Linked DNA regions of Rattus norvegicus. The protein of the gene in region 4 purifies or fractionates together with the protein of the main gene of each other region. This does not show direct contact. Links are inferred from orthologs where the notes say so. Each region holds a gene or a part of one and is shown on either strand. Other genes may lie near its edges. The genes, in order: Edc4, Upf1, Pnrc1, Dcp1a and Bag4.

Region 1 (5,795 bases), on a different chromosome or scaffold from region 4:
TGGAGACATAGCTTAGTGGTAGAGCAGTTGTCTAGCATGTGCAAAGAAAGCCCTGAGTTTCATCCCTAGTCCTACCTCCTCTCCCCAAACAACAGAAACCCACCTAGCATGCAAGGGATGTCCAGGACTCAATCCTCAGCATTAAGGAGTGGGACCAGCTATTTCAAACATCTAAAATAATGTCATTCCTAATTCCACATCCTACCACATGCCCATAGCTTCTCTCCTCTTTCTTTGTCTAGTTCCCCATGTGCCTTTCTTTCTGAGTTTAACCTGCCCAAGTTGACTTGTTAACTAATTCAGTGTGTCAGACCCCTCCTTTCTTTGTATTAGGAACCGTTCTCCACAAACTCCTACTGTGTTTGAATTCTGGTATCTCGCACAGACTCTCAGCTGTTCTGTATGCTGCCTTGTAACAGTCAGTCCACTGGCTGCAGCTGAATGTATAAAACGTAAAACCCTTGTAGAGCCAAGTGTGCTAGCATGTACTTGTAATTCCAACACTTAGGAGGCATAAGCAAAAAGTCCTCAACTTCAAAGCCATCTGACTACACAGGAAGACCCTGTCTCAAAAAAGAGAGGGAGTGGCGAGCCTCTTTGGCTCTCATTGCACAGAAAGAGAGGCTAAACAACCTAGCCTCATCCCAGAGGCATTGTCAACCTCTACCCTTACCATGTTTTGTTTCTGGGTTGTTTGGTTTTTTTGTTTTGTTGTAGATTTACTTATTCTATTGTTTGTGTGTTTTGCCTGCATATATGTATGTGTACTACATGTGGGCTTGGGGCCTGAGGAGATCAGAAGAAGGTACCACGTCCCTTGGAATTGGAATTAAAGATTGATGTGAACCACCATGTGGGTGCTGAGAGCAGCAATTGCTGCTTAAACACTGCCATTTCTCTGACTTCTTTCTGTTTTGTTTTGGGACAGGATTTTATATGTAGTCTAGACTGGCCTGAATTTCATACATAAGCCTAGCATCTCCCTGAACTCACAGTCTTTCTGTCTCATCCTCTCAAATGATGAGGTGCCACAACACCCAGCATTTCCCATGTGTGTGTTGTAGATATAATTTGCTATGATATCTTGATTGTCCTCATACCCTCCTTCAAATCAAGTTTGTTTGCTGTTCTTAGCCCAAATATTAACTGGCCTAGTTTTGTTTTTTGATGCTAAAGATCAAACCAAGGGCCTCACATATACTAAATAAGCAGGCAACATGCCACCACTGAGCTGTGGTTCTGGCTCCAAGGTCTTGCTGGTTTGTAACCTTCCCACAGGTAGATGAGTCTCATACTCATCCCTGGTCCTGCTATATAACCACACTTACAGAATGAAGAATGAACAAAGGGCCCTCCTCCCTACTGGACATAACAAATGCTCCTGAGTGCTTTGTGGTTTAGAGTTGTAGAAGAAGCTCATGGCAGGCAAAGCAACCTTTTCACAGTGTTGTTTTCTTTTCCTAGGCTCCAATGTCGAAAGCCAAAGGCCATCCAGTGCCTACAATGGAGACCTCAATGGGCTCCTGGTCCCAGATCCGCTCAGTTCAGGAGATGGTAACTCGACAAGCAAACCTGGTATACGGACCATGCCACCCATTAATCTGCAGGAAAAGCAGGTCATGTGAGTACCTGAGAAATAGTAATGATGATAATGATATCTTTGCGGATTTCACTTAGCTATAGAGATAAGATTAAGGTCAAATGGGCAAGCAGCCTTTGCTTCCTCTCTTCTGGATGATCTGGGGCACAGCACTATACCTCACTAAATATATACTAAGAAAAGATATGAGGACAGGCTAAAGACTTGGCCTGGATGCCTAGTGTAGAATGGGATTAACCTCATTTGCCAGAAGGGAGGTGAGCAAGGGGAACTGTATATGGAAACCAGGCAGAACTGGGAAGCTGGGACTAGACATCTTCATCAGGTCACTATGACCTTAGCACCCTCTACTGAGCCTTTTGAGGAACAAGGGACTTACTTGGTTTATGGACCTCTTCCAGTTGCCTCTCTGGAGATGACAGCTCCACGTGCATTGGGATTTTGGCCAAGGAGGTAGAAATTGTGGCCAGCAGTGATTCTAGCATTTCCAGCAAGGCGCGAGGGAGCAACAAGGTGAGTACCAGGATTTTGTGGCATATGTACTATATAGTAGCACACTCAGCGTCTCTCTTCTCTCATGCATGCTGGCAATTCCTATGGGAACCACTTTGATAAAGAGTCTACCTTATTTTCAGAAAATCAGTGTTGACTCCCAAACCTCTGAGGAAGTCTGTTCTGGGAGATGTCAGTGGGTGTTAGGTTTGTACCTGTGGACCTGTCCTGCCCTTGGGATTGTTAACTACTCCAGCCCTCAGCTTCTTCAGCTTCCTTACTCTGAACCCTCAGGTGAAAATCCAGCCTGTAGCCAAGTATGACTGGGAGCAGAAATACTACTATGGCAACCTGATTGCAGTGTCTAACTCCTTCTTGGCATACGCCATCAGGGGTAAGTAAGAACATGGAGCAAGAAGGAAGTGTCTGCTACAAACCCCAGAGATGCAGATGTACTCAGATGCTAGCGTACAGTAGAGGTTTGTCCCAGGGCTGAGGGAGCTGGTCAGGAAAACCAGACTCAGGACTGTGGTGATAGTAAGTGGCAAGCAAGGACGGGGCACTCGTTCACAATCCTCTGCTTTTCTGCTTCCAGCTGCCAACAATGGCTCAGCCATGGTCCGAGTGATCAGTGTGAGCACTTCGGAGCGGACCCTGCTCAAGGGCTTCACAGGCAGTGTGGCTGACCTTGCATTTGCACACCTCAACTCTCCACAGCTTGCCTGCCTGGACGAGGCCGGCGATCTCTTTGTGTGGCGACTGGCTCTGGTTAAGGGCAAAATTCAGTATCCATTCCCAGGCAAGGGGGCTGAAAAAGCAGAGCTGGGCCTAGGGCTGGGGCTGCTGAGGGTTACATCATCATCTACCTATGTAGCCTTAACTCTCTACTCAGAGAAGAGATCTTAGTCCATATCCGGCAACCAGAGGGCACACCACTGAACCACTTCCGAAGGATCATCTGGTGCCCTTTCATCCCTGAGGAAAGCGAGGACTGTTGTGAGGAGAGTAGCCCAACGGTGGCCCTGCTGCATGAAGACCGGGTGAGAGGACTGGCTATGGTGAAGGAAGGATCAGAACTGCCATACTGGGCACATGGACTAAATACCTCCCTATACCCCTAGGCTGAGGTGTGGGACTTGGATATGCTTCGCTCCAGCCACAGCACATGGCCTGTGGATGTCAGCCAAATCAAGCAGGGCTTTATCGTGGTAAAAGGCCATAGCACGGTAGGTCTACAACATATCGCCTCCCTGCCTTTCCCTATTCCCACAGCTGCCCCAGGGGCTTTACCAGTGTGTTCCCTTGGGGATGTTGAAGACAACCTGGCTCTCACTTGGACAATTGATTCCTAATCTAGCTGTGCCCTGCAAGTCTGGTTTTCTCTTTAGCACCTACCCGCTTCATTCAGTCACACAGAAATGAGGCCGCTGTTGGTTGGCCCTGTTCACTACTATCGTCATTGAGGTAGGGCTCGTTCTTACCCCTGGTCAGGAGGCAAAGCAAAGCTTTTTGGGTTCTTTGCAGTGCCTAAGTGAAGGAGCCCTTTCCCCTGATGGGACTGTGCTGGCCACCGCAAGCCATGATGGCTTTGTCAAGTTCTGGCAGATCTATATTGAAGGTCAGGATGAGCCAAGGTAAGGCAAGACTTGAAAGACACTAGTGTCTGCCCTATTTAGAAAGAGGGACAGATCATTCACTCAGACTGTTCACCTGTCTGCCTGCAGGTGTCTGCATGAATGGAAACCTCATGATGGGCGGCCTCTTTCTTGCCTCCTGTTCTGTGATAACCATAAGAAACAGGATCCTGAGTGAGTGAGTGGAGAGGCAAGTAGGTGGGCTTTTCTGTGGGCTTCTAGCTGGTAACCAGTCAGTGCCTTGGTGATTCTCAGGGTCCCATTCTGGAGGTTCCTCATTACTGGCGCTGACCAGAATCGAGAGCTGAAGATGTGGTGCACAGTGTCCTGGACCTGCCTGCAAACCATTCGGTAAACTAGAGTGAGGGAGATAGGCCAGGGACGTAGTCCTTTGAATTCTCAGCCTTACTTGGTCTGCTTGTTGGCTCCCTAGCTTCTCCCCAGATATCTTCAGTTCAGTGAGTGTGCCTCCCAGTCTCAAAGTTTGCTTGGACCTCTCAGCAGAATATTTGATTCTTAGTGATGTGCAACGAAAGGTAGGCTGCTGTGGTGGTACATTGGAAAGAGCTGGTGTTGCTGGGAAGGGCAGGGCTATGTGATGTAGTCACAGCCCTTACAGCCTCAGTTGAGTTAGCAGTGTGTTACTCATGCAGGTCCTCTATGTGATGGAGCTGCTGCAGAACCAGGACGAGGGCCGTGCTTGCTTCAGTTCCATCTCTGAGTTCCTGCTCACCCACCCTGTGCTGAGCTTTGGCATCCAGGTTGTGAGTCGCTGCCGGCTGCGGCACACTGAGGTGCTGCCTGCTGAGGAGGAGAGTGACAGTCTGGGGACTGGTGAGGTGCCCTGGGGTAAGGGCTATATGTTGGTATGTGGGAAGTGTCCATGCACAGAGCAGGCCAATGCCTTAATGATCCACACTGTCCTTTCAGAGAGTTCCCATGGAGCTGGTACCTTGGAATCTGCAGCTGGTGTGCTTATCAAGCTCTTTTGTGTGCACACTAAGTGAGTGTGTCAGGGAGGCCTGCCATGTCCTGCCTATGTCCCCCTACCCTACTGGCCCTGGCCTTTTGAGTATTCTCTTCTCCCCTTTGTTCTTTAGGGCACTCCAAGATGTGCAGATCCGCTTCCAGCCACAGCTGAACCCTGATGTGGTGGCCCCACTCTCTACCCACACTGCTCATGAGGACTTCAGTGAGTAAGGGAACAGAAGGGAGACTGGTTCCACTGATGTGGCCTTGAGATCTGACTTAGCAGCTTTTCCAACAGCATTTGGAGAGTCTCGACCTGAACTAGGCTCTGAGGGGCTAGCTTCAGCTCCTCATGGTTCCCAGCCTGACCTCCGACGCATTGTGGAGCTGCCTGCACCTGCAGACTTCCTCAGTCTGAGCAGTGAGACCAAGCCTAAGTTGATGACACCTGATGCTTTCATGACACCTACCGCCTCCCTGCAGCAGGTACTTACTTCCTTCGTGGAGAGAGGTCTGGTAATGTCCCATTAGCTAACCTTAGCACTCATTTTCTGGCTCTTCCCAGATCTCTGCATCCCCTAGTAGTAGCAGCAGCAGTAGCAGCAGCAGCAGTAGCAGCAGCAGCAGTAGCAGCAGCAGCTCTCTAACAGCTGTGTCTGCTGTGAGCAGCTCCTCAGCCATGGACCCCTCCTTGCCCAGGTAAAATAAAAATCAGAATTGGGTCTTGTGCCCAACTGTGACGAATTACAGTTGCTAATGCCGTGCCTTTCTGCCAGTAGGCCACCCGAGGAACTGACCTTGAGCCCCAAACTGCAGCTAGATGGCAGCCTGACTATAAGCAGCAGCAGCAGCCTGCAGGCAAGCCCTCGGAGCCTTCTTCCGGGCCTGCTCCCAGGCCCAGCTGACAAACTAATTCCCAAGGGACCTGGTCAGGTAGGTGGGGGTTGGGGGATAAGGGGAGAATATGAATGCGTATAAAGTACTAGGTAGCAAGTGGTAGAGGGCAATGGAAAAGATTGGAGCACTCTATTCCTATATATTTTTCTTCTGACCCTCCTTGGCCTTGGAAGTGTTACATTTCCTCAAAGGTTAGAGCAGGC
Region 2 (6,585 bases), about 13 Mb from region 4:
GCAGTGGACTCTGCTGACTCTCTTGGACACCGCCTGGGAGGAAAATGCTCCCTGTCTGCCACCGTTTTTGCGACCACCTCCTCCTTCTGCTCTTGCTGCCCTCAACGACCCTGGCCCACGCGCCAGCATCCTTGGGCCCCGCTGCCGCCCTGCTCCAGGTTCTCGGGCTTCCCGAAACGCCCCGGAGCGTCCCCACACTCCGACCTGTGCCTCCTGTCATGTGGCGCCTATTCCGCAGCCGCAACCCCCAGGAGGCCAGAGTGGGGCGCCCTCTGAAACCATGCCACGTGGAGGAACTGGGGGTTGCCGGAAACATTGTGCGCCACATCCCCGACAGCGGTGAGTAGGGGGTTGTGGTTGGGTAAGGGTCCATGAGACTGAGGGTCCCTCACGCGACCTGTCTAGCTTAGTAGCAAGCTGGGACCCTGTTTTCCTAGTTCTCTAAAATCATGGGACACATGCTGGCAGCTTCCCAGGGCCCCATCTCAGCCCTGCCCCCATCCCGCCACTTCATATCCCTTGATGCCTTCCTTCAGGTCATTTTGGGCCCCCAGGTACTGGCTGGCACGTCCCCTTCCGCCCATGTCTGCAACTGTAGGCATGATGCCCCACAGTGTCCCTTCCTTGCAGCGGGTGCCCTGCCCCCACCCCATCCGTCAGTGGGGCTCCTGTCTCTCAGCGCTTCCCTTCCTCCTTGTCTCAGCCCAGCCCCTTTGCTGGGGCATTGCGCCATGTCCGCTCTCTCCTTGCACCTCCAGGTCTGTCCTCCAGGATCATACAGCCCGCCAGAACCTCAGGGCTGTGCCCCGAGTGGACCGTCGTCTTTGACCTGTCGAGCGTGGAGCCCATAGAGCGCCCAACACGCGCGCGCCTAGAGTTGCGGCTGGAGGCTGAGAGCGAAGATACACGAGGGTGGGAGCTAAGCGTGGCGCTGTTGGCCGAGGCTGAGCATCCTGGGCCTGAGCTACTGCGCGTGCAGGCGCCACCCGGGCTGCCACTGCGCGCAGACCTACTGGGGACTGCAGTAGCGGCTAACGCATCGGTGCCGCGCACTCTGCGCTTGGCGCTGGCGCTGCACCCTGGGGCCGCTGCAACCTGTGGGCGCCTGGCTGAGGCCTCGTTGCTGCTGGTGACGCTGGACCCACGCCTGTGTCCCTTGCCGCGGTCACGGCGCCACACGGAGCCCAGGGTGGGAGGTGGTCCAGTGGGCACATGTCGCACCCGACGGTTGCACGTGAGCTTCCGTGAGGTGGGCTGGCACCGCTGGGTGATTGCGCCGCGGGGCTTTCTAGCCAACTTCTGCCAGGGCACGTGTGCGCTACCTGAAACACTGAGGGGACCCGGCGGGCCGCCTGCACTTAACCACGCTGTGCTGCGCGCGCTCATGCACGCAGCTGCTCCCACCCCGGGTGTAGGCTCGCCCTGCTGCGTGCCAGAGCGTCTGTCGCCTATCTCCGTGCTCTTCTTCGATAATAGTGACAACGTGGTGCTGCGCCACTACGAGGACATGGTGGTGGATGAGTGTGGCTGTCGCTGACCACCCAGGACACCCTTTCAGGGACGGCCCCACGCGAAAAGCAGGGACCGTTTGTTCATGTTTTATTGGTGACAAAAAGCTTAAAACAAATTTGACCAAAAATTAAGTTCCATTGCGTTGGCGCAGGTGTGCCTGGGTAGGGGTTGGGTGGCTGCCGCGGGAGGTGGGGGGGCCGGGGCAGGGCGCCCAGCAATGAGGCCTCCACCCACGATGGGGAAGAACCCGCGGGCCGTGCTCACGAGTTCGCCTGTAGCCTCTGAAGCTCCAACTCAAAACCCTCCTGCTGCGGTCCTGGCGGTGATCCCAGGCTGCGGGGCTCGGGCTTCTCAGCACTGCCTCTCCGGAAGCTTCTCTCATCTCCCAGGTCCACCAGTCGGGTCTTAGAGACAAACTCATCCAAGTACTTCCCATACTCCTTTGAAAGAATCTTTGAGGGGGAAAAAAAAAAAAGAAAAAAAAAAAAAAAGAGAAAAAACCCCAAACACCGTATTTTCTTTAAATGAAACCCCTTAGCGCTGGGACCGCGCGCTGATGCTCTTGGCCGCCCGCTTGGGCACAGAAACGCGAAGTTCGTCCTGCTAAAACGTAGCCCCTCAATCACGAGAAACAAAGAAAAAGAACAGCGGGGCCGGTCCTGGCGAGGCCTCTCCCTCTGGCGGGCACGGCGCTGGGCCGGCCTCGCAGCGGTGCGGGCCTCTCTCCTCTCGCCGCCCGCAGGGGGCGCCCGCTCCTCGGCGCTCCGCTCTGTCGTCCTCCCTGGCCGCTCTCTGCTCGCTCTTGCTCCTCTTTCCTCTCCTCTCCTCTCCTCGGCTGCTCACACAGTGGTGCTTCAGTTTTAGCAGTGGAAAACAGGTATCCATTTATTTTTATTTTTTATTACCCAGAATAAGATGCTGATAGACTAAGCCACATAGCTTAGCTCTTCCGCCGCTACCTGTGATCAGGGACAGGGTGAGAGGTGTCAGAGCCAGCAGAGGTAGGACCTGCCAACACCCCACATCTACTGGCCCAGTTTGGCTGGGAAGACCTTGTTTGCCCACTAGGGCACTTGCCTTCTAGTACTGGGACAGCCCGGTGACCCCGCCGTGCTGGTATGCCCGCTCTCCCTGGTATGTGGAGTCTTGTGAGAGTGCCACGTCAATCTGTGATTTAAACTCATCACCGAGGTAGCTGTCCTGAAAGGCAAAGGCAGTGTGAACATGGCCAGGGCAGCCACTAGCCCACAGCCACCCAGTCCTCAGACCCACAGCAGTGGGGTCACTCACCCTTCAGAAAGGAGGCATAATGGTCCTGTGTGTCTCCCCCCCCCACCCCCCACCCCCAGTATAATGGTGAAGGCCCACCTGGGACAATTCTGGCTGGGAGAGGCCAGGCTGGCTCATCTGAGAGGGCTGGCTCATGGACACATAACCTTGTGTGAGGGCACCCTGCGAAAAGGGCTGTGAGGCCACATCCTGGCTGGCCTGGCTGTTGGGAAGGGTAGTCTGGCTGGGCCCAGGAAGCCCAAAGCGGTTCTTCTGGCGGCCTCCACGGCCAGTCTTGCTTTTTGGGGTGCCCCGACCTAAAAGACAGCAGTGAAATATGGCAAGTTCTACCTAAAGTTAGGAGAGGAGCCAGGGCAGTGATAGAAGCACTTACCAGCAGCTGGCCCGTTGGCCTGTCCGAAGTACCCAGGTGGTGGCATGGGAGGCATGACCAAGTTGAAGGGAATGGGGATGTTCATGGCAGCCACATGGCTGGGACCTGCGCTGATCATGCTAATCTGGTCATGGGTCTGGAAGTACATGTTTGAGGGCCGGCCTGCAAAACACTTGGGAGTCAGATGGAGGGCCCCAGTGGACACTGGCTGCCCTGAACTATAGCTACTACATCAGCCAGACAAGTAGGCGAGCAGAGGGAGGTCGAGTGACATGCGGGGTGCTGGTAGAGAATAAGAAACATAGAAGGGTTGGTGAGGATCTGGCCACAATGGAGCTTTCTAGGCAACTTAGAAGCTTCCAGAAAGCAGAGGCCAGCCTGGCTGAGGTGGACAGGGGCAGCAGCACTCAGGCAGCCTATGCAGACAGGAGGTCCCGGCAGTTTTCAAGAGACCATGCTCCAAACCAACAGCAGAGGCCAGAACAGCCCTTGGGAACCTCGTTGGAGAAGCTAGACACCTATTGACAAGCTCCAGATGGAGGCCACCCATGGGGTGACAGGTTCGGACTGGGTCATGGGAAGGTAAACAGACTGGTGCTTGCCAGGAAGGCTCACCCTGGCTGCTGCGGTCATAGACAGATCCGGGGATGATAGCCTCACGGGCATCATACATGGCAGTAGTCATGAAGCGGGCCCCCTGCAAGGTGGCACAAGAGTGAGGAATGTGTCAGTCAACAGCAGCAGAGTTAGCTCAGAGCTCCCAGCCTCCCCAGGTCCCAGGCCAGCCCCTTGGCCCACCGGATTGACGGTGTTGACAAGCTTGCGAGGCTTGCTGAACTGCATGAGGCTCTCCCGCAGGTTGTTGAGCGGCCCTTCCACCAGCGCCTTCTGCTCCTTGTAGTAGCTCAGCAGGTGGTTCCACAGGGGCTGCTTCGACAGTGCCTTTGGGTTACCCACGATGATCACCCCGTACCTGCAGGGCAACCGACATACTGAGCCCATGGCCATACTCACTCAACCCCACTGTCCAGGGCTAGCACCATGAACGTGAACAGCTGGGTGCTGAGAACCAAACAACACATGAGGTGCGCCTGAGCAGTGGGAACTCTAAGTGCACTCTCAGCTCTCCAAATGCTGATTGTGAGCTCAATCTGTGTCCTATAGGATCATGGAGTTGTGTTCCTCAATCAGTAGGGTAGCAAGTAGGCCTCAAGATGGGGTTCCAGCATGCACGTCTACTTCCAGGACAGATATGGGTAAAATGGATGATAGGGAGGGTCTTCTTGTGGGTGGAGGGTGGATGGGAGCAATGGGCTGTGGCCTACCTTGCTCTGGTGAGAGCCACATTGAGACGCCGGGGGTCGTTTAAGAACCCAATACCCTGGTGCTCATTGGCACGCACGCAGGACAGGATGATGAAGTCCTTCTCCCGGCCCTGGAAGGCATCCACGCTTGCAATCTCCACTTCCTGAATGAGACAGTGTCTTGTCAGTCACAGCCCGGCCCCTCGCTCTCCTGCCTCTTCCTTCAGCTGCACAGGAAGGAGCTGCATCATTAAGTATGGTACAGCCAGATGCTACAGGTCCCCAGTGACAGAGATACCACAGGCCCAGTGAAGCAGAGACTGAGTAGGCGCTATGGTGTCAATCCTTGGCCATGCTAACCCCAATACAAAACCAACCAACGCTCTGCATCTGTCACACGCCCAGACAACGTACAAGTACCATGCCTTTCAGGTGGGACTGCCCCTTCCTGTCCTGTCCCTAGACTGCTTTCTTTTCAAGACAAAGCCTTACTGAACAGCCCTGGCTGTCTTAAGGCTGACAATCAAGGCTGACTTCAAATTCATAGAGACCAACCTGTGCTCGTGTGACCAAGGTGCTGAGACAGCACCACACTCTAATTTTGTCTCCAGCATACACTTACTGTGGCTGAAGGCACCGACCTGTGGGTCAGTGGGTCTGGGGGTACCTGGTAGAGCTTCGTGTGCAGGGAGCCGCTGAACTGCATGTACTGCACCAAGTAGGAGCGCTGGCCCTCGTAGGGAGTGATGATGCCAATCTGGTCAGGCTTCGCGCCTGCCTTCAGCAGCTTTGTCGTTATCTTCTCCACATTGGCTGCCTCCGTCCTGAGAACATCTGGCTGTCAGTGACAGGCTCCTTACATGTCCCCAGCCTGATAAACCTCCAGTAACCAAAGGGGCACAGGAGGCCACATGACAGTTGCCCGTCCCTGCCATTTGCCAAGGCTCCAGAAGAAACAAGAGCCTTGTGACTTCCCCTCACATGCTGTAACAAGCAGAACCACCCAAGAAGTAAGATGCTCTGGGTTTTGGGTCTGGGAGCCCAGGGTGAGAACAGGGCTCCATACCAGGGACGCAGCTGCACACCTGTTGAGGTAGGATGTGCCAGAGCTGGCAATCTCCTCCTGGCCCTGTGTCACGTAGAAGAACATGGGCTTGTCAGGCTGTGGCCACTGGAAGTCAAAACCTTTCTTGACACGATCGGCTGTCAGGGAAAGACAGAAGGTGTCACTGCTAAGAAGCCCAGGGCTCAAGTGCACACACTGAGAGCAGCAAAAGGGCTGAGTCAGCACTGTTTAAGACATAGTCGCCCACTGGGGACACAAGGATACTTCCTGTGCAAGCAATGACCAAGAGCGGCCGAGCCCAGGAAATACCAGGAGTCTCACATACTCCGGCAGTCACAGAGGGAATAGCAGGTCCAGCAGAGTGGTGCTGTCCCCACCTCTGGCTACTTGGATCCATGTGGCAGACCAGAGACACAGCTCTCAGCACGCAGTCCTGGCTGGCCCTGACCTCCCAGAGAGCCTGCCTGTCTGGTCCTAAGTCCTAGGATTAAAGCTGAGAGCCATGCCCAGCTGGTAAAAAAATTTTAAGAAAAACACCTTTATGCTGCAAAGCAAGTCAGATAGCAACCTTTCATTCCACTTCACTCAGGCTTCATGGAGGACAGCTAGGCCCACTTTGTTTCTGAACCAACCTGCCATGACAGCTTTGAGCCACAAACAGCTTCCAAGGGTGTGTGTATGACACTGTAGCTATGGCTGAGCTGATAGCACAGCACCATAGGCAGTGGCCTCCACAGACCGCTCTGCCTACTACCCAGGCTCTCTAGGTCCTCCCAACAGACACTGTGCAAAGACCCTGAAGGGGTCACTGCCATAAATAGTTTTAGGTGACCCTAGTGTCCTAAAATTCTCTGTTCACAGAGCTTCAAATTACCACAGGTAATAGACGTCACCAGCTGCTGAACTCAAAGACAGGCTCTCGCAATCTACTTCCCTGGTCTCATCACTGATGGTTTGTCAAGAAAACCCTGCTGTCAGGGAGGTTCAGTTCTGTCTAGGGTGCCTATCCTGGAACTGTCCAACACAAAGCAATGGCCAAG
Region 3 (6,244 bases), on a different chromosome or scaffold from region 4:
TCAGGTTGGTCTTGGACTCACAGAGATGCACCTTCCTGTCTCCTGAGTACTGGGATTAAAGTCATGTGCCACCACGCTGGGCCAAATCTGTGTTTTTAAGGAAGGAAGTGCATATCTTAGCACTGAGGCCAGAGCCTTTCCAGAATGATGGCTCACACTTTTAACCAGAGCAGTAGGGAGGCCAAGGCAGGAAGATCTCCATGAGTTCAAGGCTAGTCTGGCTTACATAGTGAATTCTAGGCCAGGGAGGGCTGTATAGCAAGACTCTGCATAAAATAAAATTTAAAAAAATGTTTACTTAAATTGTTACTAGAAGCTTTGGGGTGTCACATGCTACGAGGGGGTTGAAAGGCATTAGACAGCTTCAGGGGAGAGTGAACAATCCCAGAGTGTCCAGGGAACCATGCTCATACCCAGGATCTGAGAGTAAAGGAGATGAAAAGGAAGTTACCAGAAGGTCGGTTCTCTACCTGTGGCAAGAGGTAGATTCCATTCTTTTGACCAGGAGATGACTTTCTCTCAACAGAGCCCAGATCAAGGGAACTGCAAAACTCCCATTTCAGAAGAGGTAACCCCAAAATCATTTACCTGAAAGGTTGAATACTCCCTACTTTTCTCAAAGCTAGAGACTTGATTTTAAATGTTTACCATTAAGAATTACTGTATGGGGCGCGGGGGGGGGCTGGAGAGATGGCTCAGCGGTTAAGAGCACCCGACTGCTCTTCCAGAGGTCATGAGTTCAATTCCCAGCAACCACATGGTGGCTCACACCCATCTGTAATGGGATCCGATGTCTGAAGACAGCTACAGTGTACTTATATACATAAAATAAATACATCTTTAAAAAAAATTACTGTATGGGCTGGGAGTGGCTTTTTAGGAAGAAATAAGAAGTCAGAGCTCCCTTCTAGGATCTCTAGTCTGAGAACAAAGACATTCCCTACTGCTGGTCAAAGACAAAGGAACCCCATTCCCAGTCTCTAAACCTCCTAGCTCATCCCCATCTTCTATTCTCATCAGAGGGTAACTTGTGGTTTTGGTTCTCTTTTAGGTGACTTATAGGGATGGGACTCAGACTGCCAGGTTTATGTTGCAAGTACTTTAATTACTCCCTGATCCATCTAGATGCCCCGCTCTTTTTATTATTTTCAGACAGAGTCTCATTAAGCTTCCCGTACTCCAACTCAGCCTCTCCAGGAGCTAGTGTTACAAGTCTTGATCTTGCCATACCTAGACTGGAGTTCAGATTCTTCTGCTAATTTTCTAATGATTTGTGTGTGATTCTTTAGTTTCTGAATGCCTTGATTACTGTAAAATGTTAAAAAAAGAAATTCCTGGACAGTGGCGGCACGAGCATTTAATCCCAGCACTAGGGAGGCAGAGGCAGGTGGATCTCTGTGTTCAAGGCCAGCCCAGTCTACAGATTGAGTAAAGAGAGGACAGCCTGGGCTACACAAAGAGAAACACCATCTCCAAGGGAAAAAAAAAAAAGAAAGAAAGAAATGAAATAAAACCCTAATCATTAAAGAACTATGTTTCAAACAAGATGAATTACAGAATTAGTTCTGAGGTCATACTTATTTGGTAACTTATTTAGTTCTTTTCTGTATTAAACTGTGAGGAGAGAGTTCTGTTAACCCAGTTAGCTAGCAAACTGTAGCAGAGCTGGTTTTCTAAGTACAAAGGCCAATTGGCTTGCAGTAGCATCAAGTATCAGGGGCAATGTGAGATCTTAAGGGCCTCCCAGATCTTTAACTATAAAAGCAGTAAGAATTTTAAGGCCCATTTTCGGGATTATAGAGCACTTTTGGTAAACTGAGGAATCCATCAATAAACCTTTTTTAATTTTCACCACCAGGGTTAACTGGCAGCATCAGAAAACTGAACGAGAAATCACATAGCCACACTTCAATGTAGGTTAAATGGAGGCAGATCTTCACCAGCGCTATGAAATAAATCCTTAGTTTTCTCCGAAATCTCTTAAATAATATGTTGAGCTGAAACTGAAAAACTACAAAGCAATCCTTTCTTGAGGTCAGCAGCTTCCTAGTTCCTCCACCGCCTCTCTCCTCCCTCCTCACTCGCCCCACCCCGAGGCCACCCCAAAGGATTGATGCAAGGGAGGTGAGGCCAAAGTCGAACTTCATTGTTCACGGGACACTCTCTCGAAGAGCCCGTTGGACGCGCCTGCGCAACGTGCGTTCTTTGTGAGGGGCTGCAGCAGGCTGCTTGTTTGTGTCTTGCCTCCGGGCGCGGAGGCGGGATCGAGGGAGTGGCCTGGCAGGCGCATTCGGATTGGACCGCCACAGAGAGGTGGACGGGTGCGGGGCGGGGCCTCGGGTAACAACACTAGCCGCGGTGGCCAGCGCTATTTGTTGCTGCGCCGCCTCGCCCGAGTCATGGTCCTTGCCCCGAACCTTCCAGCAGCAGCCTCCGCCGCCGCCCCGTGACGCCTGCTCCCCGTCGTCTGCCGAGCCCCGCGCCATGACTGTCGTCTCCGTTCCACAGCGAGATCTCGCTCTGGGCGGCCGCCTAGCGCCGCTTGGGTTCCTCGGGGCCCTCCCGATGGTGAGCCCGGCCCCGCCGCCCTTGCCGCGCCTTCCGGACCCGCGCGCTCTGCCACCCACCCTCTTCCTGCCGCACTTCCTCGGAGGGGACGGGCCGTGCCTGGCGCCCGCGCCTCGCACCGCTGCACCGTCCAGCTGCAGCTTGGTCCCGGCCGCTGCCCCACGGGCAGCGCCCAAGAAGCGGCGGAAGAAAAAGGTGCGGGCCAGCCCGGCCGGGCAGCTCCCAAGCCGCTTCCACCAGTTTCAGCAGCACCGGCCGAGCCTGGAGGGTGGCCGCAGCCCGGTGCCGGGGCCGATCGCAGCGCAGGAGGAGCGGGGTCCAGGGGCCACTGCCCTGCTATACAGACAGCCCCCACTCGCGAAGGAGGTAGGGCCGGTGGGGGCGGGGCGGCTGTTTACTCGGGAGGGAAGTTTCCGTGACGCTCGCTGGAGTCGTGGGGCGGAAGCAGGGAGGGGGAGGGGCTGGACTGCTGCGCTGGCTCCGCCCTCTGGCTCCGGAGCCAGCCAATGGGAGCAGCGGCTGTGGCCCAGCAACAGCCTGCATTTAGAAGGTTGGCGGCGATCCAGGGGGTTTCGGCGTTCGGGGCTCTGAGACCTGCGGAGGGCTGACGTCAGCCCGCTACGTGCGGCGCTCTGGGGCTCTCATGAAGGCGGTGCTGGGTGGGGGCGGAGGCGCAGGCGCCTTGCCCAGTAGGGCACCCGACCCGACCCACTCACGGCCTGACCCACTGAGTCTGACCCGGGATTTGGAAGTTGGCAAGAGTCTCAGTCTGATGCCCGACACTAGTGTTTCACAGTCCTTGTGCTGTGAGCGGTGCAGGCCGGCACGAGCTTTCCTCGCTGGAGGGGCTTCTAAGCAGTGCCCAGAATTGAGTTTTAGAAGTTATAAAATGGACATTGCAGTTAACTGATACGGATAAAATTTTGTCGGGGCTTAAAGGTTTGAGAGTTTTCTTACCAAAAACAAAACAAAACAAAACATCGTAACATACAATTTGAGGGATTCTTTGTTGATAATGACACAAAAAGCAGCCATTGTACTGAAATTGTACTTGATCAAGGTATGCCAATGGAGAGGAATAAAAATTTAGATCCTGAGGTGGTTTTTTTAGTTTTTCAGACAGGCGTTTGCATTACCTTGGAACTCACTGTGCATCGGAGAACATTGTTTTTTAAAGGCTACCGTTAGGGTGTGGATTTGTGTGACCTTGTACTTGCCTTCAGTTTTTGTGCAAGCGTTAGGGGGAGTGATCTAAGGGTAGAGTTTCCATCTGGTGCAAATTCTGTAGATTATACTTTTGGCTAGGAAAGTTACTAGGGTGCAAAAGTTTTTGGTCTGTTTGTTAGGAGTGGGGCTGAGTTTATAAGATTAACCAAGTAGCCCAGGCTGGCCTAGAATTTACCTTTCTGCGTCTGCCTTTACAGGCCTTTTGGTTGAGTTTAGAAGATTGTCCATGAGGTTGTTGAATCTCAAAGGCAGTCGAAAACGGTTTTTTCTAACCTATAGAGGACACTTGCTCCTTTCCGTTGTTTACAGTTAGAAAACATGGGGTTGGTTAGAGTTTTTAAAGCGATTTCTTACTGTATATAAGTTTAGTGTATGCTGTAATTAAGAGCATCAATTTCAATAGCAACTAAGAGGCATGCCATTTGGACATCCAGTAGCAAGCACAGCCTGCACGTAAGTATTTAGTTAAAACTGGATTCAATTCTAGAGGAACTTAAGAACAACTTGGCAAAATAGATCTAAAGATAATTTTTATCTTAAACTGTTCACTTTTGTGTTCTTTGTAGGTTTTAAAATCAAAGATGGGAAAATCGGAGAAAATTTCCCCTCCCCATAGCCAGCTTGTGCATGGTATACACTTGTGTGAACAACCAAAGATAAGCAGACAGAAAAGCAAATTTAACTTGCCACTAACCAAGATCACCTCTGCAAAAAGGAATGAAAATGACTTTTGGCAAGATTCCGCTTCCTCTGATAGAATGCAGAAGCAGGAAAAAAAGCCTCTGAAAAATACTGAGAACATTAAGAATAACCATTTGAAGAAATCAGCATTTCTAACAGAAGGGAGCCAAAAGGAAAATTACGCCGGAGCCAAGTTCAGCGACCCACCGTCCCCTAGTGTCCTCCCAAAGCCTCCGAGTCACTGGATGGGAAGTACCACTGAGAATCCCAGCCAGAGCCGGGAGCTGATGGCAGTGCACTTGAAAACGCTCCTCAAAGTGCAGACCTAGGCTCCAGTCTGCAGTGTGTATTAGACACAGATTCCCCCGCATCCTCGGACTGAAGGAAGTGGATACGGCAGTGGAAATTTGCCGTATCGCAGCATCCGACACAATGAGCTTATGTCACACAAGCAGCTTGTATTATATTTTGTATTTTGTAAATACTGTATACCATGTATTATGTGTATATTGTTCATACTTGAGAGGTACATTATAGTTTTGTTATGAAAGTATGTATTTTCCCTGCGGATGTGGTGGGTGTTTTGTATATATACAGTGGAGATATTTTAAGTGGGTGCTAAGGCACGTGGAAGACTGTTTATTTGCACAGGTACTGACATTTTTTTAAGAACAGCTGTCAAATCTCAAAAGTGAAGATCTAAATGTGAACAGTTTACCTAATGTACTACTGAAGCTTAAGTCTGGCACAATCACTGTAAACATGGAGTTTGTGTTTCTCTAAATTGACTTGACTTTTAATCTGTAATTACTAGAAAGCTTCCTATTTTTACCAAACTTGACTTCTGGATATCAGTATATTGCCATTATTGAAAAGATTTAAAACACCTCTAATTTTAAATACCAACAAAATTGGTTGTAATCAAATTTTAAATCAATAATAATAATTTGGCCTCCCCCCCCCTTTATGGTGGTCTTGGCTTTTTGTGTGTGACTGAATGAATGTGTAAGCAGGTGACTCTGTGGTTGGACTTGGAACATTTATCGTCTTTGTGCTAAAATAGCAATTATGCTATGAAGTTTAGATGTGCTTAATTATTTTTTTTTTCTTTTCTTTTTTTCAGAGCTGGGGACCGAACTCAGGGCCTTGCGCTTGCTAGGCAAGCGCTCTACCACTGAGCTAAATCCCCAACTCCATGCTTAATAATTATTAAGGTTAATAATTTAACCTACCTCTAAGAGAAAGAATTTCCCATCTTAGAAATGAATGTGAACACAGGTGAAGCTGGTTATTACAAAAAATTAAGACAGGATCTCGAGCTAGCTCAGCTGTGGAGTTGAGATAACCTAGAACTTCTGGTTCTGCCTCCAGTGCTGGGGTTGCTGGCATACACCACCACCCCTGGTTTAAGTGGTGCTGGGGATAAACAGGGCTCGGCATGCTCGGCAAGCAAGCACCGTGCCAACAGACAAGCTCTAGAGTACGTAATTCCTCGTCTTCATTGCCATTTGGAGATAATTATTTCTGATCTTGATCTTGTTTCCTGCTCCAAGCAGGGCTGGCACTTTTGTAATCTGTTTGCCTGAGGAACTGGGGTCACAGGCAAACTCTCACACCTGATTTAGGATCTCCTTTTGTGTGAAGTGTCACTGCTTGACTTCCATTATGTGCATGTGAGTACAGTGCCCATAATCTCTCACAGATGGCCACAGGCCGCTCTGATCTGGGTAGCCTGTCAATTGAGATCCCCTCAGATAACCTCCGGTGG
Region 4 (6,245 bases):
TAATAAATTGATGCTGGAAGAAGTAACATTTTTTTCTTCAGTTTTTGAGACATGGTCATTCTGTGTGGCCCTGGGCTGCCCTAGAATTCTCTCTGTAGACCAGGCTGGCCTTGAACTTGGAAATCTACCTGCCTCTGCCTCCCAAGTGTAGGACTAAAGGCATGTGCTGCCAGTACCAGGTTTTTAAAAATATGGTACAAGTCTGTCTATGACTGCCACTCATTACAGCGGTAACTTTCCTTACACTAAATGGTCTTTGTATGTTTTTCCCGAGTTCTACAGTAAGAAAGCTCTAAATTTCTGAACCAAGGACATTCAACACACAATCCACTGAACACTCCTCAACCTAACACTTCATAGTTCACATTTGTTTCTGTAATATCACAGGGAGATAATGAAATCCTGTTCTCCAGATTCAGAAACAGAAGCAGAATTAAGGCTCATGCCCAAAGTCACACAAATTAAAAACTCCAAATCCAGTTTTCTTTTTGATTCCTGCAAAGTAACATTATGACATTCTAGTGTATTTTTGTCCAACGTACAGAAAATGTTCTTCAGTTCCCAAATAGAGGCTCTTAAGCCTCCTTTTCTTAGACCAATGCTATAGTTTGTATGAATTGTCTTAAATGAAGTTACTCACTATACTGAAGTTCCCACTTTCTCCAATCTGTTTTATTCTTCTAAAATTAGACCTATAAATATCCCCAAATGTTATAGACATTATGCTTATTCCTTAAAATTAGAGCTATAAATATCCCTGAGTATACAGACACTACTGTTCTAATAATAGTTAGGGGTTCTTAGAGACTTATATTGTTAATGAAGAGGTTGGAGTTAGATCTTTTTTATTTTAGAGAAGAAAAATGAAGTAGAGAAAAGAGTATCAAAGAAAGAGGAGCTTGTCATACAAACCTCGAAATACTTCCATTTAAAGGAAAAAGTGTATTTAGACAAGATCACAACGTTCTACACTAACATTTACAATAACACTCCATTCTTATAAAGTGGTACCAGTGGAGGATGGCTGTCCAAAAAAGAACTCGGCACAAAAAGAACCAATGTCTGTAGCCTTGCTGCTACCGCTCAAAGTTCTAGAATAGGCAAGGGATTTGCCTCTAACACCAAGAGCTATGGGTACCTGGGAATACAAGGGTCTCATGACTTGTCTCATCCTGTGGGCCACCTAGGATGAGGCCCCTATGCTGCCAAACAAGGTAAAGTTGTCAACCTTTACAAACCAACCATTTAAAGAATTAATTTTCGGGGCTGGAGAGATGGCTTAGTGGTTAGGAGCACTAACTGCTCTTCCAGAGGCCCTGTGTTCAAATCCCAGGGTGAACTCATGGTGGCTCACAACCATCTGTAATGGGATCTGATGCCCACTTCTGGTGTGTCTGAAGACAGTTACAGTGTACTCCTATATAATAAATAAATCTTTAAAAAAAAGAATTTTCAGAGAAGTTTAAAGTAAAATGTATATGAATTAGGAATGACCTAGAACTTTGGGAAGAGGCAGGAAAGGGGCAGAACCAGCCACAGAAGGCAAATTCTCATCAGAAACTACAGACCGGCAAGAGTGCTATCTCAATCACTTTATAGCTACTGTACTATACTATATTCGCAGACATTCGTACGTATGCATTCTTTTTAACATGGGAAGAAGAGCAGCAGCTGTAGTAGGACTGTAGTGCTTGGGTGGGGGAAAACTGGAAGAAGATAAACAGGAAGGCTCCAAAGCTACATACACGATAGAAACGGACCACGCTCCACCACAGCGATCACCACCATTCAAGTGAAGTAGAAACATCCTTAAGCCACTTACCTTCGGTATACAAATAATGTCCCTTCTATATCAGTCTTCTCCTGTAACAGACAACGACTCTGTCAGTTTTCCAGGAATAATCCAAGGTCAAATGATCTTGGTGAAGCACCTACACGTTCAGGCCAACTTGTCTTATTTACTGTGAAATCGATCGTGTATGTGCTCAAGGGAATGCACGCTGGCATTTGTGTACAACTGGAGAGGCCATCGGTCACTCTCAGGCGTCATTCCTTCTTTTGAGTCAGGGGGTCTCACTGGCCAGAAGATGGGCAATTTAGCTGCACTTCCTGGTCAGTGAGCTCCAGTGTTGTGTCATAAGCGCCTCCATGTCCCCAGAGGACACGTAAGTGCAAGCTACTACGTCCAGCTTTCTGTGTGAATACTTCAGGTTCTCAAGCTGGGGAGGCAAGCACTTCATCCACTGAGCTGTCTCTTTAGCCTCCAAATTAGTCACGTTTGAACAGGTAAAGCAATTCACTTTTTAAAAGAAATCTAAACAAATTATGTATCTGTTCACCCCTGTGTTTATGTATGTCCAACCCAACAATATGTGTACATCTGTAGCACATGTCTATTTTTGCCAGTGAGGAACATTTAAAGGGAAAAAAAAAGCGATTTAGCTTTACTTATTTTATGTATTAAATTTTTTTTTCAATTAGAAAAGATGTAGGGCTCTTTTGTCAGCATACGTATTTCTTTGTAACACATGTATGTGTGTACGTGGAGCTTAGAGAGGGCACTGGACGTCTTGGAACTGGAGTTACAGATGGGTCTGAACCATCATGGGGATGCTGGAAATTGAGGCAGGTCCTTGGGAAGAGCACCAAATGCTCTTAGCTACTACTGAGCCATTTCTCTGCCCCAGCTTCTCTCTGCAAACACTAAAACCTTTCAACTAGGTATCTTAATACTCCAGTCAAGGTATTGTCTACTGCAACTTAAAAAACCAAAAACTTGGAAAAAAAAACCAAAAACCAAACCAAACCAAACTTGAGCAGTCTATTGAGGTTTATAGAAAAAGAATGGAAACTTTCTTCAAAAGGGATACCAGGTTGAACTCAGAGCCTGGGCCTCATGATGCACAGCTGTGTAGCACTGAGCTAAATCCCTAACCCTCGGGACGTTTTCTTCTAAGATACTGTTTCATTTCTGGAGAATTTAGGACTATTTTCACGAGTTACACATTTTGTGGTGACCAAACACAATTTAATATTTTCAGAACTTTGTTAAGACTCGTGGATAGAAACCATTCTCTGCCTTAGACAAATGTGGTAGGTTTTTAAAATAAACGCCTGAAAATGTGATTAAGAAACTGTAACTTGGGTTGGGTATATAGCCCAGTGGTAGAGGAACAGTACAGTGTCTGCCTAGCATCAGGAGGAAATAGGACATCATGTAAATAGGTGCTTCAAGTTGAGGTTAACTAAAGTCAGTGAATGTAATTTCTGGAACTCCATGCCACTCACAAAATCCAAAAAGAACTAAGAAGTGAGCGATCAAACGTCCTATCACCGGTCTCTTTTTTTTTTTTTTTTCTTGTAAAAACGTCTCCAAGGAATCCAATTCTTACTGAAGTAGCCTTGAAATCTTTCTTTAAACTCCGGTGATACCAGTTCTGCTAAAGCTGGACTAACTCCTGAGACTGATTTTTAAGCTTCAAATCCAAATCATCACATTTAGGTCGGCAGGGAAAGAGGAGTGGATTTTGCAATCAAGAACACGTGATTTATCTAATAGTTTTCAAAGTCTCAAACACAGGTTTTCAATCACTTGTTAGAAAAAAAAATTAACTTGTCTCATATCCTGCCAATGCAACCTCAAGTCTCCAGAACCGACCCCAAAAAGACTGATCCTGCCTCATTCCTGTCCTCCATCTGATTTCCCTGTTATGTCTCTGGTGTACTCCTACCCTTCATTCCTCCAATTCCGCGTGTCCCTCCCCTTTCCCCCGTCATCTCTTCGGCTCTGGAAGGACCTTTGGGAGAGGTTCGGGCCTCGCCTTTGCGGTCCTACTCTGCTCCACACCCCACCCCCAATCCTAAGCTGTCTGCGCGGTCCCTTTAAGAGGCGGCAGCGGCCAGGCTGGCGTTCTCCACGGCTGGGCCTCACTCACCCACTGGTTGGCTTTGGGGCAGAAAGTGTACAAGGCGACCTGGCCCGTGAGGTCTGCGATGCTGGTGATGTAGGGGTCGTGTTGTTTCAAGGCCGCCAGACTCATCTCTTGCTCAGCTCGACTCAACAACTCCATCTTGGATCTCCAGGCCGAGCCCCTCGGGCGGGGGCGGACTGGAGAACAGGAAAGTGCCATCCAGGCAAAGTTCCCCCAGCTCAGTCAGCCGTCCACTTCCGCCTATCCGACCTGCCTTGCCGAGGGTGGTACTTCAGTTAATCTGATCCGCCGCTCCTATGCCCTGGGAGCCTGGTTCCGATCTTTTTAGGTCTGCGGCTGCCGGAAGGTACAGGCGTCCGCGCCTGCGCGGTGGAGCTTCGGCGAGCCGACATTCCGGAGTCCTCCTCTCTCACCTGGCGGGATCTGAACTTGTTCCTTGAGTGCTCCAGACTCCTGCCAGTGAGACCGCAGCCCAGCACATACCCTGAATCGAAATGCTTGCTGCTGTGGAAGTGAGGTTTTCATGGACCATTGAGAAAACTCAGACCAAGTGAGGAAAGGGAGCTGTACTTTACTTCCGAGCTGCACTTTCACTCTTAACTGTTTGGTAATTTTTGAAAGAAATGTTTCAAAGCAGCCAAACTAGCCTGCCTGGAACTACACTGTACTCGGCTTCCCCTCTTTGGCTTGTCTTTTCCTTCATCTGGGTCCTAAATAAATATTTCTGTTGTTCTAGAAAGACCTATTACGGGGTTGGGGATTTAGCTCAGCGGTAGAGCGCTTGCCTAGCGAGCACAAGGCCCTGGGTTCGGTCCCCAGCTCCGAAAAAAAGAAAAAAAAAGCAATATAGAAAGACCTATTACTTAAATAATAAGTAGATCTCTTAAAAAGCCAACATTATTGGGCATCCTAAGGGGTCAGGTACTACAAAGTAAAACAACGTGCTCAGCCTATTTTCATTGAGCTGCTTTAAAAACCATCGTTTTTCTTTATTGAGGACATCTCGGCACAAATGAACGTTTTTGAAAGGATAAACTTTACATTTCCATCAAAGTACCACCATATATTTGTGTTGCTTGTGGTTTTACATCCCAAGATCATTTGCTAATGGAAGGGCAGACTTTCCGTTCGGAAACACGTGTGAGGCAAGAAGTCGGAACAGCTTATGGTTTGTTCGCCCTTTGCTCACGTACACATTCATTGATCTTATAGAGTGGTTGTCAGTTCCAAGCTTCCAACTCTTTTTGGCACCAGGAGAAACGAAAAGCAAGCAAATAACCCCATGATAGACATTTCTCTTTGAATTCCAGAGGGTGGAGTCTATTTCCGTCTGAGCCAGGAAAGGTAGTGAAGGAACTCTTAACCAGTTCCGGCATGGTGGGCGTGGCTCTGGCAGGCCTTGCCCTTCTCCCCAGTTTCCTCTGCCTTGCTAAAGACTGTTAGATTGCATTCCTCACACTAGCCACCAAGGTCTGTTCCTTAATTTAGCCTAATAAGAGATTAATTTCTCCTGAGGCTGACTACCAAGGTCTGGCTATCAAAGTATTGGAGTCTAGCAATCAAAAGCCCCCTTTGGCTAATTAACATGCCCAATTAAAATTAAACACATCATCCTAACGTGGGCTTCCCCTTTTATCTTTATAAACTGCCATTTGCCCGTGGACCACATCTATTTCCTCTATATCTAGAGAGTCCTTTGTCTCCTTCCCAAACATCTCTTACCCCTCTCCTCCCAACCCCTTTAATTTTTAGCCCCTTGCCTTCCTATCTCCTGCCTTTGTTCATTATCCCTGCTCTCTCTCCCCCTGGAGCACATAAATCTCTGTGCTGAGAACATGGTCTTGGGGTGCCTTGAGCCAACTTCTGAAGGCAGTAGGAAGGCTTCAAGAAGGTGCTGAGGTTTGAACTGCTGCTTTCGATGAGGAGGTGCTCCTTGGGAAAGTAAAGTTAAGGGCTGAGGTTTGCTTCATGGCCCAGTGGCAAGGTGGGAACCTAGTGTTTAATGCTGATTTGATTCAGACTGGAGGGGAAGAAGGGAATGGCTCAGAGTTCCACACTAGTGAGGAGTATTCTGGTATGAGAGTCTTGGGGATCCTTGTTCCACATCTGGACTGCCTTTCACCCAGTGGTGGAGGGTAGGACCCCATCACTTTCTGTACCTTCATTTTCCCTCTGTATGCTAATTTTTGTGTGTTATTTAAAATTTTGTCTCTATATGTGTACATGTGTCGGTGTAAGTCTGTGCTGACGTAAGTGTGCAGAGGCCAGAAGAGAGTGTATGGGCACACTGGAGTTTAAGTTACAGGCATTCGT
Region 5 (5,795 bases), about 67 Mb from region 4:
CCTGGGTTTAGTTCCCAGCACTGTTTAAAACAATAACCAAACTATAATAACCACAGTAGTAAACAGTATAGTGAAGAATTTCCCTGTTATCTGTTGTTGTCATCAGGAAAGCAGGGTGATTGCTTAGTTCAATATGACTGGGGTCATTTCTCGAACTCATCGTGATACTTATAGTAATGTAGTCACCATCTTTTGAACAAATTGTGTATCTGCTAAATCTTTTTTTGTTGTTGTTTTGTTATCTCAGTTTTTCCTAATAATCCTGCAAGGAAAGTTTTGGCCTTCATTTTCCTATTAGAGAAACTGAAGCTAAGAGTAACTAAATATAAACTATTAGAGAATGTTTCTGATTTTTTTCTTTCTATTATATGATTTTTTCCCCCTCTACCTTGTTCCCCAGGATTCCTAGAGTTGCCTTCTGTGAGCAAACGTTCTCCTCTTAGACATGTAGTTGTGAGTTAAATGTAAGAAAATGTTATCTGTCATCACAATATAGGCTTCCATCGATGTCCCATAACTTCAGTTTATAATCTGAGTTCAGTGCCTGGCGTGTGATATAGAGACTAGAGAAGAGAAAGAGCACCTCAGAGACTGCTTACTGACACCTTTACTTCCTAAAGTTTTCAAGGTTGAACATTAAGGGCATTTTAGCCCTTCAGCCCATTATCTTTTCCTCTCTGATTACCTTTTTTCAGAGTCTGAATTCTTACGCAAATGGAGCATATGGCCCACCTTACCCTCCTGGCCCTGCAACAGCAAGTGCTGCCTCTTACTCTGGGGCTTACTACGTACCTGGCTATGCTCAAGGCACTTACTCCACGGACATTCCTAGCACCTACCGTTCACCTGGTAACAGCCCGACTCCAGTGTCGCGTTGGATGTATCCCCAGCAGGACTGTCCGACAGAAGCGCCTCCTCTGCGGGGTCAGGTGCCGGGGTATCCTGCTTCACAGGTAAGCAGCCTCCTGGGAAGGAAAGAAAGCGCCTCTATTTCCTGAATTTCAAATAGTGGAAAGTTACCCATTTATACTAGTGCTGTTTAGGAAGACAAGTGGAGCCATGTACACTGTGTACACCTTCAACCCCAGTTTTCAGGAGGCAGAGGCAGGTGAAGCCCTTGTAGTCATGACCATTCAAGACTATGTAGTGTGACCTTGTCTCAAAAACAACAAAACAGAAAATACTGTAGTCATTCAGAGATTATTTGACAAATGGAGAAATGGAGTTTCTTTTATATTGATGCCTAAATGGATTTGGCTGAAGTGACCTTAAAAATGCCATAATTCTAACTCTTTTAAATCCTAACATTTTATTATTGTGTGCATGGTAGGAGTTGTGAGGGATGACATACATGTACCACAGGACAATTTTGTGGAGTGTGTTTTCTCTTCACTTTCTGTGGGTTCCATGGATCAAACTCAGGTCTCCAGACTTGCATAGCAAGTGCCTTTACCCACTGAGCCATCTCTCTGGCCCATAATTTATATTTTTTTCTGTTTGTTTTTTTCTTTTTCTTCTTTGAGACCAGGTCTTCGTATGTAGCCCTGGGCACCTGGACCTCCATGTACAGACCTAGTTGGCCTCAAACTCACAGCAAATTGCCTACCACTCACTCCTGAGTGCTGGGACTAGGGACATAATGCCACTACACCTGCTCCTCTTTTGTTCTCTCTTATTCTTATTATTTTTAATTCTATGCATACTCTCATGGCTGTGTTCATGTACATGAATGCGGGTACTCACAAGGCCGCAAGAGTGAGCATTCATGGAACTGGAGTGACAGGTTTGGGAACCACCTGCTATGGTATCTAGGACTTGAACTTGAGTCCTCTAGAAGAGCAGTATGTGCTCTTAACCACTGCCACATTTCTCCAGCCCCCATAAAGTTTGTAATAGATCTTTTGTTGCTGCTTGAAGCTTTCCCTGACTGAACCTTTCCTAACACTGTTGGATGTGTTACCGTGCTGTGAGTGTGCCGAGCGTATTTGTTGTTTGGAGAACACTCTGCTGTCTGCATGTTTACAGTGTGTGCATTCATTCATCTGTATGTTTTTGGAAAATACATGCTTCATCCAGTGAATTTGAAGACTAACTCATGAGTCTTTCACCAACTCTGTTCTTTGTGTTTTGGGAGCCAGGTTTTCTCAGGTGTGGAGAATTTTTGGTAACTGATTAATGAGTTACTAGCAGGTCAGGACCTCTCTGTGCTATTTTTATTACTTTTAAGCTTTGTTTTTTTAAGCAGTGATCAATGAGCATACCAGCACATTTGTTTTTCCCAATCTAGAACCCTGCAATGACCTTGCCCCATTATCCTTACGGAGATGGCAACCGCACTGTGCCACAGTCTGGAGCAACTGGACGACCACAAGATGATGCATGGGCTTCTAGTGCTTACGGGATGGGAGCCCGTTATCCCTGGCCTTCAGCTGCACCCTCAGCCCCCTCTGGGAACCTGTACATGACGGAAAGTGCTTCACCATGGCCCGGTAACAGTTCTCCTCAGCCACCTCCTTCACCTCCACCCCAACAGCCTAAGGTAGGAGGCCTTCCAAATGCAGTTCTTTTGATCTCTAGGCAATTAAGAGGATATAAGATGACACTTCTTTGGATTAGTCTATTAAATGCAAAAATGTTGGTCGTTGCTACCCTATGGCATTATGTTAGCTTAGATTGTTATACTTTTATAAATAGTATTATTTGGGGATTTTTTTATTTTTTAGGTTTTTATCTTTTTGTAATTTTTTCATTATTTTTATGTGTATGAATATATTGGCTGCCTCTGTTTATGCTATGTAATTTTTCATTATTTTTATGTGTATGGTATACTGGCTGCCTCTGTCTATGGGCCACATGTGTACTCGGTGCCCTTGGAGGCCAGAACCCCTGGAACTTGAGTTACAGACAATGATGACCTACCTTGTAGCTACTGACAATCAAATCTGGGGTCCTGGGGAGAGCGGCCAATGCTCTTACCTGCTGGCCATCTCTCCAGCACCGTATCTTTTTTTAAAAAAAAGACAGGAAAATGCTTCTTTTCTACTGTGATACTATCTGAATATTAAGTAGAATCAAGGGATTATTTTACAGCCTCATGATTTGCAGCAGGAGGGAAAACAATGTGAAATAGCACACATTGGCTTGTGTGCTGGCTTTACCTAAGCCACAGACACACTTTCTGCTTTTGCCTATGCTCTGCAAGCTTTTACTATTTGAGGGAAACTAATGATGAATTGTGAGTAGTAAGATGGGCTGGGGGTGTTCCCAAGAATGACTTGTACTGGGTAGATTCCAACTGTCACATTTATGAATTCTGTGCCTGTTGCTTGAAAGGACTCTCCTGTCATCTTCTGACAGTGCTGACCTCTGATGGTTACTTAGGAGCCAGTTTTGTGGGAATCTTTTCAAGTACTGTCCTGGTTGGTAAAAGATGTGTACTAACATCTGATGTTGATAGCTTCCATGAAAACAGCTTTCTTTTTTCTGTCTTCCATTCCAAGGACTCCTCATATTCCTATAGCCAATCGGGTCAAGGCATGAACCGGCACAGCTTTCCTTGCAGCGTCCGTCAGTATGAATCTCCGGGAGCAGTGAACAATGATGAATCAGACCTTTTGGATTCTCAAGTCCAATATAGTGCTGAGCCGCAGTTGTATGGGAATACCAGCAGTGAGCATCCAAGCAACCAAGTTCCCAGTAATAATCTCCCTGAAGAGTGTTTCTCTTCAGATGAAGGCACTCCTCCAAGTATTAAAAAAATCATACATGTGCTGGAGAAGGTCCAGTATCTTGAGCAAGAAGTAGAGGAGTTTGTGGGGAAAAAGACAGACAAAGCCTACTGGCTTCTGGAAGAAATGCTGACAAAGGAACTGTTAGAACTGGATTCTGTTGAAACTGGGGGCCAGGACTCTGTGCGTCAGGCCAGGAAAGAAGCTGTTTGTAAGATCCAGGCCATACTGGAAAAGTTAGAAAAAAAGGGATTATGAAATAATTCGGAATGCAGCGGAAGCCTGTTAATGATTTGGCCAAAGAACTCTTTAATTTGGTTAGTTCCCATCTTTTGAAATGCCTGTTGTGACAAGAAGCAACACATTCCAACTTTCTTCTGAGCTAAAACTTGAAAGGAAAAAGAACTGGAAAAGCCAGCAGAGGAATGGAATTGCAGCAGTGACAAGATTCTTTTCAGTTTTCAGATGACTGCACATAATAGGAAACTGGAATTATCAGTATTGCCAAGTAGACCTACTTCTTACGAAACCCACTGATGTCTGGAGGCTGCTGCTTATCAGGTCGCAGGAGGGAGATAGACTTATGTAACAGGTTGTCAAAAACCGGATCTGAGACAAGCAGGCTGTTTTGTAAGCATCTGGACTGTCACATTTTTGTGCATTGTGACTGCATATACTTCATGTGTATATTATAGCCTAGACTCTTGGACCTCTGTTCTGTTTTCTTACCAGCAGGTCACAGATGTAATACTATTCTACTTCTTCGTACATTTTGTAGTAATATGTTTAATATAATCAAATATTGGCAGCCAGATAGGTGAGCAGTTCTGAATGAATTCATATCCTTTTACCACTTGAATATATTGCAGTGTGTAGTGGGCTCCTAAAGTCATTTGTCCCCCTTCCTGTGTAGCATGTTACGTTACGTTCTTCCCACTTCTGCTTTTCATGATGGGGAAGGTGACTCTGAAAATTACATTAACATAAGAATGACAATGTTTGCCACATTCTTTGCTTTGTTGTATTTGGATAAAGATCTCTGAAATTGCTTTTTTAAGAAAAATATCTTTTGGCTATTACTGCTTCTATAAAGAGCCTTATGATAAAAAAGTGGAAACTTAAATGCCACAGTTAGTATAAATAGTGACTGCAAAAAAGTAACAAATATGATTATTTAATAACACTGGTCTCCATTCGGTAGGTCTGTGGGACAGATCTGAGCTCAGTGTGTAGCTGATAGAAGGAAAAGGAGGAGATTCATGCTCAGGGAATGAGTCAGCCTTAGCTGAAGTGGAAAATTAATACTTTTAATTTAAATTTGGTCTTTATTTTGTAGGATAAATTGCATAGAATTGCCTGTTTCATAAGAAAGATGTTTATCATTAATAATAGTCAATTTAGAGCTGAGTTTAAGAAAAGGGGCCTTTTTTGGTTATCTGTGTATGTTATACAGAGACAGGTAAATAATTTACCCTTTAAGCCTAAAGTGAGATCTAGCATACAGTATCCACTTTCGCAACAAAGGCAGTTTCTTAGTAAAATATCAAGGTGATGCTTTCTTCTAGACTAGCCGGCCTTTATGTTAGTGATACTAAGCATACAGCCATCCTTCTACTCACAAGAAGCAAACCGATGCCAACATACGATGAGAAGAAATGTAGTAAGAATATTGTCTAGGGGCTGGAGGTGTGGCTCCGTTAGTAGAGTGTTTGCCTACCGTACATGAAGTCCTAGGCTAATCCCCAGTGTTGTATAAACAAGTGTACATACCTGGCTCAGCACTTGGGAGGTGAACACAAGAAGGCGGCAAGTTTAAGGTCATCCTTGGCTACATAATAAATTCAAGGCTAGCCTGAGCCAAGTAAGATCCTGTCTCCAAAAACAAACAGAATAAGTGATTCAAGAAGTGATCATTTTATACCAGGAGTCTGTAGTTTTTAAAAGACTTTATTTGGCTGGGTTTGGTGGTGTACATTTTAAATTCAGGCAGAGGAGGCCGGTAGATCTCCTGAGTTCAAGGCCAGCCTGGTCTACAGTTCCTGATCAGCCAAGGCTACAGAATAAGAC

The links.
Region 1: the proteins of Dcp1a (region 4) and Edc4 purify together in Homo sapiens (co-immunoprecipitation; 9 studies listed by BioGRID and IntAct, with this or other methods). This does not show direct contact. The link is inferred for Rattus norvegicus from reciprocal best matches to the Homo sapiens genes DCP1A and EDC4.
Region 2: the proteins of Dcp1a (region 4) and Upf1 purify together in Homo sapiens (co-immunoprecipitation; 4 studies listed by BioGRID and IntAct, with this or other methods). This does not show direct contact. The link is inferred for Rattus norvegicus from reciprocal best matches to the Homo sapiens genes DCP1A and UPF1.
Region 3: the proteins of Dcp1a (region 4) and Pnrc1 purify together in Homo sapiens (affinity purification with mass spectrometry; 3 studies listed by BioGRID and IntAct, with this or other methods). This does not show direct contact. The link is inferred for Rattus norvegicus from reciprocal best matches to the Homo sapiens genes DCP1A and PNRC1.
Region 5: the proteins of Dcp1a (region 4) and Bag4 purify together in Homo sapiens (affinity purification with mass spectrometry; 4 studies listed by BioGRID and IntAct, counting the BioPlex papers as one, with this or other methods). This does not show direct contact. The link is inferred for Rattus norvegicus from reciprocal best matches to the Homo sapiens genes DCP1A and BAG4.

What each region holds. Positions count from the first base shown.
Region 1 is NC_086037.1:50,686,005-50,691,799, forward strand, and holds part of Edc4 (enhancer of mRNA-decapping protein 4), read left to right. Parts: intron 1-1,464; coding exon 1,465-1,621; intron 1,622-2,001; coding exon 2,002-2,113; intron 2,114-2,386; coding exon 2,387-2,486; intron 2,487-2,687; coding exon 2,688-2,877; intron 2,878-2,984; coding exon 2,985-3,132; intron 3,133-3,213; coding exon 3,214-3,318; intron 3,319-3,616; coding exon 3,617-3,726; intron 3,727-3,816; coding exon 3,817-3,900; intron 3,901-3,981; coding exon 3,982-4,077; intron 4,078-4,159; coding exon 4,160-4,262; intron 4,263-4,379; coding exon 4,380-4,560; intron 4,561-4,656; coding exon 4,657-4,729; intron 4,730-4,826; coding exon 4,827-4,918; intron 4,919-4,993; coding exon 4,994-5,181; intron 5,182-5,260; coding exon 5,261-5,394; intron 5,395-5,471; coding exon 5,472-5,628; intron 5,629-5,795. UniProt on the Homo sapiens protein: In the process of mRNA degradation, seems to play a role in mRNA decapping. Component of a complex containing DCP2 and DCP1A which functions in decapping of ARE-containing mRNAs. Promotes complex formation between DCP1A and DCP2.
Region 2 is NC_086034.1:19,126,325-19,132,909, reverse strand, and holds the end of Upf1 (UPF1, RNA helicase and ATPase), read right to left. Parts: intron 5,683-6,585; coding exon 5,565-5,682; intron 5,304-5,564; coding exon 5,147-5,303; intron 4,644-5,146; coding exon 4,501-4,643; intron 4,149-4,500; coding exon 3,974-4,148; intron 3,873-3,973; coding exon 3,791-3,872; intron 3,338-3,790; coding exon 3,176-3,337; intron 3,099-3,175; coding exon 2,881-3,098; intron 2,713-2,880; coding exon 2,593-2,712; 3' UTR 2,590-2,592; exon of another isoform or gene 2,586-2,589; intron 2,472-2,585; 3' UTR 1,583-2,471; downstream 1-1,582. Other genes in the region: Gdf1 (embryonic growth/differentiation factor 1 precursor), read left to right, coding at 45-339, 759-1,537. UniProt on the Homo sapiens protein: RNA-dependent helicase required for nonsense-mediated decay (NMD) of aberrant mRNAs containing premature stop codons and modulates the expression level of normal mRNAs.
Region 3 is NC_086023.1:52,442,599-52,448,842, reverse strand, and holds Pnrc1 (proline-rich nuclear receptor coactivator 1), read left to right. Parts: upstream 1-2,351; 5' UTR 2,352-2,484; coding exon 2,485-2,934; intron 2,935-4,361; coding exon 4,362-4,805; 3' UTR 4,806-5,443; downstream 5,444-6,244. UniProt on the Homo sapiens protein: Nuclear receptor coactivator. May play a role in signal transduction.
Region 4 is NC_086034.1:5,661,287-5,667,531, reverse strand, and holds the start of Dcp1a (mRNA-decapping enzyme 1A), read right to left. Parts: upstream 4,096-6,245; 5' UTR 4,071-4,095; coding exon 3,936-4,070; intron 1,864-3,935; coding exon 1,823-1,863; intron 1-1,822. UniProt on the Homo sapiens protein: Necessary for the degradation of mRNAs, both in normal mRNA turnover and in nonsense-mediated mRNA decay. Removes the 7-methyl guanine cap structure from mRNA molecules, yielding a 5'-phosphorylated mRNA fragment and 7m-GDP.
Region 5 is NC_086034.1:73,004,081-73,009,875, forward strand, and holds the end of Bag4 (BAG family molecular chaperone regulator 4), read left to right. Parts: exon of another isoform or gene 1-695; coding exon 696-953; exon of another isoform or gene 954-965; intron 966-2,287; coding exon 2,288-2,539; intron 2,540-3,500; coding exon 3,501-3,986; 3' UTR 3,987-4,540; downstream 4,541-5,795. UniProt on the Homo sapiens protein: Inhibits the chaperone activity of HSP70/HSC70 by promoting substrate release. Prevents constitutive TNFRSF1A signaling. Negative regulator of PRKN translocation to damaged mitochondria.